Drosophila melanogaster: one gene and its partners. The protein of the gene in region 2 interacts with the protein of the main gene of each other region in a pairwise test. Each region holds a gene or a part of one and is shown on either strand. Other genes may lie near its edges.

Region 1 (2,996 bases), on a different chromosome or scaffold from region 2:
AAAGTTGCACTTTAGAAGAAACGAAAAATTCCAAATTATTTTCCAGGTAAAACTATACACAAAAAAAACTGCAATTGTATTTTACGATACAATAACATTTTTTTGACAGAAGTTCAATTAGCATTCAATTGGTGTTTGCTAGTTAAAATGTTGTACAGTGCCAGGTATTCGTTTAGCAGTTATTTGCTTGTAGTTTTTCAGTTTTTCCTGCACTTGACAGACGTTGCCACCTTAACCGCCTAGGAAAGAGTGTCAAAAGTCAAACACTTTTGCTTGTCTCAGCCCCGATCTCTTGAGTTGTGGAAGTCACACAGAAAGTCGCAGTTTTTTTTCGTAATTTATGATACTTTTTTGGCTTGGCTAAGGCCAGCTTAGAGTCCGTGGCCTAGAAAGAAGGAAAATCAATTCTGCAAACGAGCGAAGATAAACGATAGATAGCTAATCACAAATCTTTTGGCACATTTCGAAATTATTGTAGTTCGTTTTATAGTCTCAGTAAAGAAGGCCTTATGTAATTGTTATGCAACTATTTTATTGAGCGATATTCTTCTGTTCTAATGCTAGATTTATATAATAATTCATATAAGGCTGTAATGCCGTAAAACTAAATAATATTTGTAAATGTTGGTAAAAGTTGTCTTTTTATATCACAAAATCTTTTTCTGAGTTCCCTGTTTCACGTTCCTGCTTTCCTTAGTCAGAAATAATAAACCTATAGCTTGAAAATCTTGATTTTCTAGTTTGTCAATAAGAGTTATCATTACTCTTTAATTTACTTAATATGGTGCTCAATTAATTAATTAATTATTGCCTTCCGCATTATGCTCGTAGTTGTCAGCACTACAGCTTGCCGATTTCCTCGAGATACTTTCGCTTGCGTTTCTGCTGCTTCTCGAGTTGCCGCTGCATATTGGTTCGCAATCTGTCCCTATATTCCCGTTCCCTATCGAGGGCACTCATCTGCTGGGAACTGGCCTCCGCGTCGAACTCGAGTTCAAAGGCCGACTCCCATTGGCGACGCTGCTGCAGCTGGATGAGCTCGTTTGTCAGCTGCAACTTGGTGCTAGCGATTCGCATCATCTTGCGCCTGGGACGACCCAACTCCCTACGGTGGAGGTAGAGGGCATAGCTCACGGATTGCTCTCTCCTCTGGGAGTTGCCACTGCAGTTGCTGTAGCTGGAATAGTCTGACATTTTCCTCTTGTATATACTATGCAAATCGAAACGTTCTCCTCACTGGTTTGAGGCCAAATGATGCAATCAGTGCGTGTGCGGGCGACTTTAAAGCCACTCAGGTATATGGTTCGATGCGATGTTGGTTTCCTCGCGATTTCCCGGTTTACCAGGTATGCAAAAATCCTGGGTTTATTGCCGTACATTATATTTGAAGGACTCAATTAGGATACCTATACCTGCCCCCGATAACTGAACCCTAATGCCGTGCCGCGACTTGAACTGATTACGTTTTCCAGCTCGGTTGTTGGTGCCATCGGTGGCTCCGGTGTCGTCGCCAGCAGGCAGAATCGCAAAATAGAGAGCTCCAGGTTCAATGCAAATGCAAATGCGCTTTGCATGTTGCCGCTAATTGGCAACAGTTGTCGATGCTACTGTTCTTTTGCTGCCACACGACGTTACCTCTAGCTTCGGTGCAGTTAGCGAAAAATCTAGGCCCTAGACGACATAAAGATAGATCGGGATGAGTTCCACATAAAAAAGACTTCAATTCAATTATTCCCTTTTTGGATTCCAACACAATACAATGCGTAAACTTCTTTTACGATTAACTTAAACTTATTTGTAGTACGGGTAGTATTTTATAGCGAAATTGCGAAAGGTATTTAGTATTCTAAACGATCTTTATAGAACTACAATTTTCAATTAAGCATGACAATGGGAAACCACTTAATTTCCCGAAATAGAATCATTTCGTAAGAAATCAGATTTTCTGTGTTTTCAAGGCTTGTTGTCTGTTTGGTCTCCAAGCCTCATTAACTATTCACAATTAGTTCTGCGCTTACTAGAGCACATTCTCGCTTTTAGACAATTTATGTTAGTGTAGTTCATTTTTTTTTCTTGGGCCGACGTGACCGGCATGATTAATGAACGCCGTTATGCTTTTATGGCCGATATAGAGGCAAAGCCCTGCGTTTAGTGTCCATATCCATGTGTGTAATTCGAGCGCATGCGTCGCTGCCTTAGAGGTGTTGCATAAGTCGGCGCCATAAAGTGAGCCGGCAGAAAAACAATAAAACACCAGCAAATTAGAAATTACCTTTATGTGCAATATGAGGTAGCGTAGAAAAAAGAAATACAACGATAAGCAGAAAAACAAATTTACACACAATGGGCAGTTAGCCTGTGGTAGGGGCATTGCCTTGTGGCAAATGTGCGTGGCATTACATCACCGGTTTCTTTTGGCCAACTCTGCATCTGCGGCCTCATTAAGCCCAGGTTAAATCGGAACTGTAGTTTCCAAGCCGGGGTTAATCGGAACTATACATATACGTATGGTAAGGCGGAAACTCAAAGGCCTCGTAATGTTGCAGATTCAAACGTTACTGCCAAGTGATTTCCCTTTAGCTGAGGAAAAGTCGGTGCTAATTAACCCACATGGCCAAGAGTGTAAAGTGGAAATTGCTCTGCAGCTTTTCCAGCTCTCGAACTGTACAAAACAAAACAAAAAACTATTCCAGTCCAACTGCATTACAATGTTATCCAAATGACAATACGTAAAATATATACATATCTCTCTAAAAACTTTTCCGGGTGGCGACAAATTTTCAACTGGCAAAACTTCATATAACAACAAAATATATAAAAACGTAGCTACAACATGGCAAACAAAGCGACGAAAAAGGAATATTTTCCACATCAAAATGCACATAAATAATAAATGAAACCAGCCAAACGGCCAGAACAGGAACCCCAAACCTGAAACAAAAGAGAATCGAGATGCCAGAATCGGGCGAACTGAAAACTGAGTACGTAAAACTGAA
Region 2 (5,628 bases):
ATCTGTAGTCCAGCGGAAATAACTTAATCATGGAGGGGAGCGAGTTGACGCGGTTTGGCATTCCGGAGGACTCATCTTTCCCCCGTGGTATTTGTGTGTGATATTTTTAAGTTGTACTTCAGCGGAATACAGAAAACACGCCCCGAACGTAATGCATAATGATAATGTATTCTAAAATTATTAATAATAAATATTAAATAAAGTAATCGTAACACGCAAAGCCCACCTCGGTTCCTTGACCATCACAATGTTGACAAGACGTAATATGAGATGATGTCATTTCCGTTTCACCCCAGCGAACAGCCAATCCGTCGTCTAAACATCTTCTAATCTGTGCCCTGTATTTCTCGGATTGGAATTAAGTCATCAGACCGATTTAGAAAATCGGATCTTGATTGTCGGCACACACAAACGCAGCTACTTTACCGGCATTTACAAAATTCTTCGAGGAGACATATTTCGATGCAATAGTTCAGTACAGAAAAGGGAATTTTGAGTTTGTTTTCTCATTTAATTGTTGAAAGCAGTAAAGTTGTCTAACAAGATTTCTTTGGGGCTTTGCGCCGTTTAACAGTAATTATAGTTTGAACAAAGCATTTGATCGCAAGTAGACATTGAGATTTAAAATTGGTAACCCTATATACATACATATATTTCGGTGGGTCAAGTCTGAAACTAGCTCATTTCCAAATAAACAATAAACTGACTTTAGGCATGAGGAATCCGTTTTATGTTTTAGCAGTATTTTATCTCCTTAAAAGCTGAACTGAAAATTCTCATATATTGCAATTCACAAAGGACACTGTTTAGAACAGTGACTACGTTTGCAGATAAATGAATTATCAAAAACTTTACAAGTTTATTCATTTGAATATTTTAGATATGTGACATAGAATTGTCTTCTACGAATCTAAGAAACCTCCTATGATTGCCTAGTAGACCTTTTATGTTTCTTTGGAAATGTGACCATTAAGTTTCCGGAATAGGAACTTAGTTATATCCCTCAAATTGACCCATCCAAGTAATACATTAATCGAATTAATACATTAAAACTGCTGGAGCCGCAGCTCAACTTGTAGAGCAATACAGGCCCGTCGTTCCTCCTTTAGTTCCATGCCCAGCATATTCTTCTTGTGCTCCAGCAGCGCATTCTCCCGTGTATAGTGCTCGATTATCCGCTCATAGTCGGATTCTGGGGGAGCCTGAGATCCCGAGGCCAAGGAGGCCATTTGACTGTTTATTGACTGCTGCTCGTACAGCTGCTTGAGCCTATAGACTTCGTTGCGCTCGGCGACGATACGTGCTTTTAGTTCGTTCTGCCATTCCATTAGCTCGTCATATTCAATTTGGAGCCGCAGCAAATTTTCGCGGTGCGGATTTGATTTGGGGAGCAAAATAAAGCCAGTGCTGGGATCAATAGTAAAATCGTTAGGAGCATCTTTCGGAGTTAGTGTATCGGTTTTTGGCTCTTCCTGGGAAATACTGTTGTTCGTAGATACGGCTGGAGTTCCAGCTGGTTTGGAGTCAGTGGTATCTTCACTGGCTACAGCGGGCGGAGCACTGCTGCTGTTGTCTACTTCCTCCGCAGTCTTTTCCTGTTTCTTCTCAAAAGTTCGTAGTTTCCGCTTCAGCTGGGTAATGATGCGCTGCACTTCCCACAGCTGTTCCTCGCGTTTCTTGGTAATGAACCCGGCGTTCATCTCGCTGTGGATCTGGGACAGGAGGCTGTCCTGCTTGCGCAACTCCGTCTGGATGTCCTCCGGCGTATCCGGAAGCTTTGGGCTGGTCGATGTTAAAGGGGGCACATACCTAAGAGATGACAATTTAGTATTATGATAACTTTGTTTAAATGTGTGCCATTCTGCCTGATTAGAAAACTGGCGAAACGTGGAAAGCGCTTCTGTTTACGGGGTAATGTGCTCATCGTCGGTTGCAAAATAAACGACTAAATCTGGCGATTTTTATAGCAGCAATCTTATCAACTGCCAACAGTGGTGGGAATTATCTGGGTTCTTATAAGTACCTATTATACATATAAAAAAACAATTTATATCATTAGATAAATATGGAAACTAACAGTTTACTAAAACTAACAGTTTAGTAGTTAACTTCAGAGCTATGACTTCGATTCGTTCTTGTGATTTAACTATAGTTGTTAAATGTGGACTTCTCTTTTACCAACACAAAGGTACTTGGATATTTCCCACCACTGTTATCCGGCTAGCCGGTGTTTGCTCACTTTATCAGCTGGACGTCCGCGAACAAGTTGTTGCAGTGGCAGAGTAGGGCCACCATTAGTCGGTGAGACATCTGGAGCGTCGGACTGAGCAGCATAGCCAGCGACTGAGCGTTGAGCTTATTGTGTCTTTCCTGCTGGATCACCGCGTCGAAGTGGAGCAGCACCCACGCCAAGAGGGTGCGATTGCACTTGGGCAATTGTTCAAGCAGCTGCTGCAGCTCTGCCTGCTGCGTGGTTACCTTCGGATGAGAGGCTACCTCCTCAAAGCGGGCCACCAGATCGGTGGTCAGCAGTGGCTCCGGCAGTTCGCGCAGGAAGAGCTTCAGCAGACTGCAGGCGGTAGGCAGGTTGAGCTCATCAACGGCGGAGTCGTGCTCCCGGTTGTTGTACAACCGCTTGAAGTGCATCAGACGCGTCTTGATGGGCTCAATCTTGTAGATCTGCTCACACTTCAGGTGATCCTGCAGGAAGTCGATGCAGTCGCGCACAACCAGGGGAATGTCCACGCCGTCGTGGCAGCGGGATCGTTCGGTCGCCAAGCTAACGGACACCCCAAAGACGGGATACCCAAGTGCCAGCACTTCCTCCGCGGCGGAGACGTCGTCCTGCTGCTGCGACAGCTGCTTGCTCTTCTTATCCTTTTTGTCCTTCTTGTCAGCCTTCTTGTCCTTTTCCTTGCGCTTCTCCTCCTTGTCCTTCTTCTTGGGCTCATCACGGTCCTTCTCCTTATCCCGCTCTTTCTCCTTGACCTTGTGGGAGACGGAAGGCTCCTCCTCTGCGTGCTTCGAGTCTTTTTCAGACTTGTCCCGCGACTTTTCCCGCTTCTCCTTGCTCTTGGAGCTGGTGAACTTAAAGGTCTTTGACTTTTTCGACTTGGATGGACTTCTGGAAGTAAAAGAAAAAATATTACTTGTCTCTGGGTCAGCTGACCTGCACCCACTTGGTGTCCAGCTCCTCCTCCGGCGAGCTCTCGCCCTCCAGAGCGGCGTATCCTCGATCCTTGCCCTTTTCCTTCTTGTCCTTGCGCCGGCCAATCAACAAGTCCTTCTTGCTATGGTCGTGATCCTCACTAACTGTAAAGGCAAGGTGAGCCCATTGATTTTTTCCCAGCTTACGCCCACATCTTTGCGCTCCACTCACAGTCGCTCTCCTCCTTGCTCTTCCTCGACTTAGCGTCCGCCGCCTCGGAGGCGTACAGCCCGGGAAACTCCTTCTCCTCGGGACTGTCAAAATCCATCACGAATAATCACTTCACCAGCAGTAAATAAATATAAACAATTGCCGTAAACAACATATGCAACAAATAATCGATTGCTTAATCGAAGTCGCCGCTGCTATCCAACACTGATAAGTGCACAGATGGCGCTACTGTGTCATGTAAAAAATATGTAGTAACGGTGTAGATATTTAAAAAAAGGCAAATTGAAACAAGAGAAAACGCTACAGTCGAGTTCCTCAACTATCAGAAATGCGATCAGCTACTAACTCTTAAATTTTTATAATATTAATATATATATATATATATATATATAATAAATAAATAAATAAATATGTGTTAATATATAATATAATAATAATAATATTTTAAATAATTTAAATTCTAAGAAAATATTTTTTATATATATACATAAACTACATAATACATAAAACTTCCAAAATGACAAGAGTACCACCTCTGTAACTACAGGATTTTGTTAATTGTGCGCGCTAGTGTGGGCGTGGTGAAAATGTTTTTTCACAAGTATACAAATTGCCAAGACTATTTATAAAATAAAACTAAATCAAACCATTTTTTCAGGGTGGGGCTGTAAAACTATAAGGCGGTTTGTTAACTTCTAAACTCCCAGAAACCGAAACCAGAATACAGCGATGAAAAAAAACTATTCGTTTATTAGTTTAAGTAATATTCATATATATATATGTATATATATAAAAATTAATAAGTTTGCGATACAATGTTCTTAATTGGTACGGAAACGCTTCCTTATACCTTTTGCATTCTTTTTACTTTACGAGTAGGCGGTTGTGTAGCAAATAAGTTAATCAGTATAATTATTTCACGACCAATCAATCCCGCGGTGCATCGCTTATCACTCAGCTTGAGTAGGGGTAAACAGTAGAGAGGAGGAGGATTAGGTCGCCTCCATTACCGGCAAGCCAAACAAATGCTAATAGTGCGAGCTGATGCGGCTGATGCAATTCCGCAGGGTGGATTGCGGCATCTCCAAAATGCTACACAGATTAGCTTACGGCCACTATAAACTGGCCATCAGCAGCTGGGAGCCGTTGAGAGCCAAGGATAGTGGCGTGGCCATCGTTGTCGTGGTGGTCGCGTTTCTGCTAATTGCTCTATTTGGGAGACAGACACTGTCGGAATAGGCCATAACCAGTCCAGCAATCAGGGTCAGCAGGAAAGTCAGGCCCAGGAGCCCGCAGCTGAGGCGCCGTACGGCCTGCCACCAGGGATCCAGAGCGAAGGGCAGGAGCTCCTCGAGCGTCAGTCCGTAGGAATAGCTACGAAAGAAGCGGGCAGGCGGCACTGTGTAACGAAGTTATTTTTTAATGAAATACGACGGAAAGCGTTTACTCAGCAGTTGTGAAAATGGGCTCATAATCCTTTGGATCCTTCCCCGTCGCGGGCACGACAATGATGTGCTGCTGCTGCCGCTGCTGCCGCTGCTGATGTCCTTGTTGCGTTGCCAGAAGCGCTGTCTTCTCGTTGCAGGACATATTTGCCGTGTGGTACCCTGGATGTGTGCCGAACAAGAGGGTATACGCAGTTTATGTAACTTTATCTGTAACAAGAAGTGAAAATAATAATAATAATGAATAATGATTTATTCAAATGACTGATAATTTATATATGATAACTGTGACATGTATCTTTCGTTTTTTTTTTGTCAATACCACCAAAGTTGCCGTAGCCCCTTGCAGGCACGACAGATAACTATAGATGGGAACTGGGTATTTTACAGTCCTTTTTCAGCCCTTCTCACGGGATAGTACCAGGATTGCAAACACTCCCGGCTGGAAATTGCTCCATTCGCAACTGGCGGACTACTGGCGACTGGCTTCGTTCTGTCGCAACTTTAATTAGCTTGCAGCTGGGTTGTCTCTCTGTCCCATTGCTTTATTGCCATTGCTGTTTGTCTTTGTGCTCGGTCCGGATTCCTGTAAACAACTTTATCTCCATGGGCCGTGGCGATCCGCTCATCTTCCGCAACCGGCGGTTGGTCTTATCTGGCGCTTTTTTGGGGCATTACATAACCGCAGCAGAGAAGTCGCCTCCCCCAGTTTCCCATAGCGATAAGGATAAGCCCAAGATTTCAGGGAAGTGAAAAGTTCACAGCCAGATCGATCGGTTTAATGTGTTAGTTTATTGGGATTCG
Region 3 (3,078 bases), on a different chromosome or scaffold from region 2:
TTGTGAATATTATTTTCCAATTAAAAAATGCTGGCCCAAAAAGTACCAAATCATTCATTCAATATTTGCGTGCCCAGTTAAAAACGCCTTTTCCAATCGATAATAGCATTCGAGTTTAATGCACCCGAAGGGGTCATAAATTCCAAAAGACTTGCGGTCAAGAGATAAGGCCCAACAGCTCAAATGATTTGTCTTGACACGTGTCAGGTTGTGGCTCAGAGAACTCAATTAGTGGCTGCCACAAATTGGCCTCACTTGATAGTCACATTAAGGTTGCTTCTGTCCACATCCATACCGTTGTCTAAACTTGAGTAGGTGGCAACAGCTGTTTAGACAATTGGGTGATTGCCAAAAATATTGGTTACAACTGGCGTCCAAATACATGACCTCGAAAGGTCAAAATATTATGGCAGGCGCTTTTAAAGACGTAATTTAAAATGAATGCATTGATATAAAAGCTTTGATTACTAACACCGTGGGAGTTTATTTCATTACAATTTAATCAAATTATTGTGCTTTTCTTAATTATCTTCACTGTGCTCACAAACGTCATTAAATTAATTAATCAATAATGTTATTAGTGCAGACCAAATACACACTAATTATAATCAGTGCTTATTGATATGTTTTTTGGGCCATACAATTTTATAAATTTATGCATCCCTTCACTTAAGCAAATGACAAAATATACGTTACAATCTCTTGAATAATTTACACAAAGTAATATCTTTTAGAGATTTCCAAAAACGTAAGAGGTATTAGAGATATTTTTTGTACTATGCGGTAAAATAGTCTTTCCTCCGACGATCCTGTGTATATTTATCACTATCACAATTCCGTACTCTCCATTTTGGGATTGGCATTCTTGATGCCCAGACTTCTTAACTTGCGAAGCCGCTGAATCTGGCGACGAAGTTTATGCCGAAAGACGATCTGATGGTTAACAGTCTTCAACTCGTCGGCGCTGTATCCTTTCAAATTCCGAACCGTTTTGGCCAGCAGTGTGTCGGTGATAAAGTACTTGGCCTTGGACAACCTCATGTACTCCACATTCTTCTGAGAAAGTTGCTGGCGGTACAGATACAGGTGATATCCCACATTGGGCGTCCCTTTTGGCTGCTGCTGATAGCAATGTTGTTGTTGCTCTTGTTGTCCCGCATTTTTCGCAGGCTTGCTGTCGCATTCGTTGATGAGTTTCTGGTAGCGCGGCATTTTATAATCGATAAGTCTCGGTATAAAACACAAAGTCCGGTGCTGATTTCCTTAGCAGATTCTCTAGGTGGTATCTCAGCAATATTCGTTGCAGTTGCAAGTAAAAATATCCGATGCTGCTTGTCCAACGTTTTCAGAGCGTTTGATGTCCTTTCAACAATCAGGCTAGTTTTTATACATCCCAGCTAGCCACATCCTGCTGCCTGTGTTTACCTGAACTTTCGGAGTCCCGACTTTTTTTAAACCCTTGACCATCGACAAAAAGTTACCTGTCCTTTACCTGCACTTTTGACTTATGCCCCTTTCGGTTGGCGTAATAAAAAACAATTCATTCTTAATCTGCTGCCCGTCGTAAAGTTTTAGTATTTTGCAAACATTTTCATTCTTAATCCGTTTCAGTAATCCGCCCTCGCGGCCGCCCGGGCAATTTACAACAAAAAATATATCTCAACTGGCGCGTATAAAAAGATTAAGTGACATTACACAACGTATTTTCCCAAGCAGCTGAAATTCGCAAGCCACTGCCGGATGAACATGCATTTTCCTGCTGCGGAAAAGGGTAAATTGCAGAGAAGGATGCAAAGGATAAGTGCCGAACTGGATTAGCGACGGGAGACAGCTGCAAGGCCTTTAAGAATTTATTAATGATCTCTAAGAAAGATGGCTAAAGTGATCAATATGCATAATGACAGCAATAACTGAGAAAAATTGGTCTCTATAACACTTTTCTAAAACGTCTTAAAATTTGAATTTTGATTCTACTCTTAATAGAAATACTTCTCTATATCTTCAATCAATTCCAATCCTTGGTAATCACATTAAACTATATAAAAATTTAGAGTCGGCGGTATCACATTTTGCATTATTTGTGTTGAGAGAATGACTTTGGAAGTTCAAAATCGCCGAGCTCAAGTTACATAACTGCATTGTCAGTGCAAAGTGTAGTCAGGAGAAAATGGAACGGAAAAATGTCGCCTGGATTGGAGGGCACTTTTTTTTATAAATTCACATTTCTTGCCTTTGCATAAAAATCCTGATCAAATAACACAAAGTTCAACCTACTTTTCCGCTCTAAAATATATACGTGGCAACAAAAATAAAAGTAATCTGTTAAGACAGCTAAGGAGTGTGTTGGAAAAATCGAGGGCGGGGAATGAAAGTGATAGACCTCTGGCAGAATTATGGCAAACTTTAGCTTCATTCCCATTTCTTTTTCTTAAAATGTAACGAGACGAAACGAAACTTTTCAAAGTTGAATGTTGAAATAAGCAATTTTCGCGTTCAACTATAGAACATATATACATAGGGCAAGTGCCAGACTAGACAAGCAGGGCTGGTGGAAAAAAATAAAAAAAAAAAGATTGAAAAGTAATTGCATTCAAGAGCTTGTAGTTAAAAATTTATGGCCATAGTGCCCAAGAATCTAGGGGAAAAGGGCACAGCGAATGAAAAAATTAAGCTGATGCTAGTGTTTTTGCTATTGCTGTTGCTTTTGCTTTGCTGCTGGGAAATATTGAAAATGTAATTCCAACTGTTGTCTGCCCTCCGATGGTAATTGCAATGACCGGCAGCTCGAACGGCGGTATTACCAACGGAACAGCAAAAGCAGCAGTTCGAAATAAAAGTAAGTTAAATTGAAAATGAAATGCAATCAGCCTGAGCTCTTTGGCGCACTTCCTTGGCCCCCTTGATACTGTATCTCTACGCTTGTACTTCTATTTTTATCCGCTGGATGCATATCCATTTCGCAGCTGCATTATTAACGCTAGGTGTGAACATTTTAGCCGTGTAATTGACACAGAAACATCCACTGCATTTCATAGAAGATATCTCTTGGAACAAATTATTATTTTAAAAAACGAACAC
Region 4 (3,733 bases), 9.6 Mb from region 2:
ACCCAACAAGGTATCAGATTCGTGAAGATCACCCCCGACAGATGTCTGATCTTTCCTTCGGTGGAGTTTGTTCGAAATATGGTACTGAAGTTGGGCAGCAAATCCACATTGCCAGTGGTCATCGATTGCACCTATATCTATGCTGCGGATTTCACAGCCGCCAAAGTAATATCCTCCATTGTGGACGACTTCCGCCGGCGTCAGCAAAAGATCATATTCTTCAACTTGAAGCCCAGTGTAGTGAGTGTCTTCGAGGGATTGAACACGAGGCTGGTGCTTTGCTACAACACCCATGCCCTCAACCAGGAACTCCGGCCCGACGAGCCGGATCTTTCGAGGTCCGTGGACTCACTCGACCACGCCGAGTCCGGAAACGGAACTAGTGAATGCGTGAGCATGGCCAGCACTCTTTCACTAGCTAGAAGTTAGTCTTACAACGCCCAAATAAAATTAGCTAAGTTATATCTATACCATTACGAACATTAATCTAGTAGTTTCACTTGAGTAAAGTCTTTGTTTTTACACTCCTGTCCTTTTCTATCAAGAATATACTACAAAACTTGTATTATTTATATCAACTATTATATTCAGTCTGATAATGGAGCTTTCAAATGTTTTAAAATTAGTTATATAAGCTATTTCCAGAACTTTCTGATGGACATGTTCTTCTCGGAGTCCTTCATCATTACCTTGGAGACGGCCATTTCAAAGTCCTCCTGGGTGACATGGACCCGTCTTTCCCTCAGAGCATACATTCCCGCCTCGGTGCAAACACCCTTGACTTCAGCACCAGAAGCCCCCGGCATTTCTTCAGCAATCTTGCGAAGATTGATGCCTCTGGTGAGGTTCATCTTGCGAGAATGTATCTTCAGGATATCCAATCTGGCCTCTTCGTTTGGTGGCGGAAACTCGATCTTGCGGTCAATTCGACCAGGACGCAGTAATGCCTGATCCAAGACATCGATGCGATTGGTGGCCATGATCACCTTAATGTTTTTAGTAGCCTCGAAGCCGTCCAGTTGGTTCAGAAGCTCCAGCATGGTTCGCTGGACCTCCGAATCCCCCGTTCCGGTTTCCAGTCGAGCGGAACCAATCGAGTCGATCTCGTCCATGAATATTATGGATGGAGCGTGTTCCCTAGCCATCACAAAAAGCTCCCTTACCATTCTCGAACCCTCGCCGATGAATTTCTGAACCAGTTCCGACCCTGAAACCCGTATAAAAGTGCACTCCGTGTGATGGGCTACAGCTCGGGCTAACAGGGTTTTCCCAGTTCCAGGCGGTCCGTAGAGGAGCACTCCCTTTGGCTGGGTAATGCCCAAGGCGTCAAATAATTCCGGATGCTTTACAGGCAGCTCAATCACCTCCTTGATCTCCTGGATCTGCTTGTCCAAGCCACCCACCATTTCGTAGGTGGAGTCGGGCACCTTTTCCACCAACATAAGGGATACTAATGGGTCCACCTTATTGGGCAGAATTTTGTGAAGCGTGTAGCTCTCGTTTCGCAGGGCCACCCTGCTGCTGGGTGTCACATCCTTAATATTGATGGTCTTGTCCACATCCACTACATACTTGCCCTCGGGATGAACCTTCACAAGGACCTTATTCTTGTCCATGGGCTTCACAACCTCCGCAATATAGCTCCCCTGCTCCTGGAGCAACTGCAGCTCCTCGCGCAGCAAGCGAACTGTGGATAAGGCAGGATAATCTTATAAAGGATATATTCATTCTAAGAACCTTACCCTTGAGGTTGAGTTCATTTCTCTGAGCCTGCAAACGGAGCAAGTTCTTTTGGCGTTCGTTCACAGTGAACTGAAGCTCTGATATTTTCTGCGTATAATATGAATGAAAGCCTTCGGAACCCTCTGGGATTCCTACGTCTTTGCTCATCTGGTAAAATTAATATTTCTTCTGGAAAAAAAAATCACTTCAAAAAAGGCTAGCTAGTAATTTATTACGTTGAACTGCAAATTGTTATTTCTTTCCTTGTATAGCGCTCAACAACTTCCCGAGCTATTGATATAATTTTGCTTATTTTTTTGAACGAACTGAATCCGGCTGATGAGACGACAGTTTTTACGCAGTGCTGGGAAATTTTGACAAGTTAGGGATGGAAACTTCATTTCACACTTTAACTTAAGGGTTCTTGAACAGACTAAAAATTTTAAGATAAGTCGTATTATTGCCACACGTTTCGTAAATATTATTTTATTATAGGTGTCAAACATATTCATTCAATCTTATCTCGAGTAATGCTTTCTTGTTATTGATGCCTTCGAACCAAAAAATTTACTTCCCACACGAAGCACCAAATAAAATCACAGCATAGTTTGAGATTAAAGACACCCAGAAATCATGATGTTGTTTAGATATAAAGTCTATCAATCTTGGAATAAATCTTTAATAAAGCCAGTAGTTGGTAACAACGTATAATACCTAATGAGAGTGTTTTATTTCCACTTTCTTGGCCAATCAAGTAAAACTCTTAACGCCACTTAACTATTTTATATTTACTTGATTTATTTAAGTACTTATGCTAAAACTCGCCGTTCGCTACCCGAAAATAATACTATGTTCAGCGGCAAAATCGCGGGTGGGAGGAGCCCTGACTCTGGAATTCACAGCGTTTCGCCGTTAGAGGCCAAATAAATAATATTGTGCAGATATCTGCGAAGATTGCCACATCTTAAATGCTAATTAAGGTGAGCTGGGCTAGCCGTGGAATGGTAATGGTACCTTCAACTAAGGCGATGAGCGTGGGCAGCCCACATCTAGATTTAGTCGCTGGCCTCGGTGGCAAGACTAAGCTAGTACTAGGTCTAGGACAGAGACTAAGCTACGAACTAGACTTGGGCTAAGACTATCGCATAACGAGGTTGCAGCGTTGTTCCCCCTTCGGACTTCTTTGGATCCCTCAGATCGGGGGCGACTTCTCCGCCAGCTTGGCGTGCAGGGTGTTAATATCGTATATGACCACCAGATCCTTGTTCAGACCCTCGAAGACCTGCGCCACTCGCGGCTGCAGGTTGTAGAAGAACAGCGGCTGCTCCCGCAGCTTAAAGTCCATCACCATGGTGGATATCACCTTGGCGGCCGTGAAGTCCGCTCCATAGATGTGGGTGCAATCGATGACCACCGGCAGTGTGGACTTCTGACCCTGCTTGTTGATCACCTTGCGCACAAACTCCATCGAGGGGAAGATCAGACAGCGATCGGGAGTTAGCATTAGGTATTTCAGACCAGTAGTTGTCTATAAAGATAGGTCGGCTTATTAATATCATAGGAATCATCTATGGCATATCAACTAGCAGTATATTAATTCCTACAGTAAGATGAACATGAGATAAAAATGCCATCCGAATCTTAAGAATCTGTAGCATACTTTCAGCCACTGAAGCTATTCTAGGTATAGATTGAGATACTTCGGATGGAATGACTCACCGCCAGCGTTTCGATGCGCAACTTTGGCCGGGCTGCCTGGTAGAGGATGAAGACCACATTGATGCCGATGCCCACGAGGATGCCCAGTTGCAGGGGCAGAACCAGACAGGCGAAAAAGGCACCCAGGCCGGGAATGAGATCGGTTTCTGTGGCAGGAGAAATACACACGTATGGTAACAAACATGTGAGTGTGGTTTATTTATTTTCAACTCACTTTTACTGTGCCACATGGGCTTGATCACTCGGTACTGGACCATGAAAATAACCGCCGCAATAATAATGGAGGCCAGAG

What was found.
Region 1: the proteins of Rlip (region 2) and CG13712 interact in a two-hybrid assay, tested with the Drosophila melanogaster proteins (one large-scale study listed by BioGRID).
Region 3: the proteins of Rlip (region 2) and CG13711 interact in a two-hybrid assay, tested with the Drosophila melanogaster proteins (one large-scale study listed by BioGRID).
Region 4: the proteins of Rlip (region 2) and Rpt6R interact in a two-hybrid assay, tested with the Drosophila melanogaster proteins (one large-scale study listed by BioGRID).

Annotation. Positions count from the first base shown.
Region 1 is NT_037436.4:4,708,663-4,711,658, forward strand, and holds CG13712 (uncharacterized protein), read right to left. Parts: upstream 1,229-2,996; 5' UTR 1,195-1,228; coding exon 841-1,194; 3' UTR 547-840; downstream 1-546.
Region 2 is NT_033777.3:21,015,626-21,021,253, reverse strand, and holds Rlip (Ral interacting protein), read right to left. Parts: upstream 3,571-5,628; 5' UTR 3,477-3,570; coding exon 3,380-3,476; intron 3,313-3,379; coding exon 3,180-3,312; intron 3,125-3,179; coding exon 2,240-3,124; intron 1,810-2,239; coding exon 1,047-1,809; 3' UTR 501-1,046; downstream 1-500. Other genes in the region: CG5697 (uncharacterized protein), read right to left, coding at 4,495-4,753, 4,827-4,969. UniProt on the Drosophila melanogaster protein: Participates in receptor endocytosis during interphase, is also involved in mitotic processes when endocytosis is switched off.
Region 3 is NT_037436.4:4,756,163-4,759,240, reverse strand, and holds CG13711 (uncharacterized protein), read right to left. Parts: upstream 1,359-3,078; 5' UTR 1,213-1,358; coding exon 829-1,212; 3' UTR 533-828; downstream 1-532.
Region 4 is NT_033777.3:30,581,634-30,585,366, forward strand, and holds Rpt6R (regulatory particle triple-A ATPase 6-related), read right to left. Parts: upstream 2,065-3,733; 5' UTR 1,891-2,064; coding exon 1,743-1,890; intron 1,688-1,742; coding exon 636-1,687; 3' UTR 565-635; downstream 1-564. Other genes in the region: CG9702 (uncharacterized protein), read left to right, coding at 1-429; CG9717 (uncharacterized protein), read right to left, coding at 2,915-3,250, 3,442-3,587, 3,656-3,733.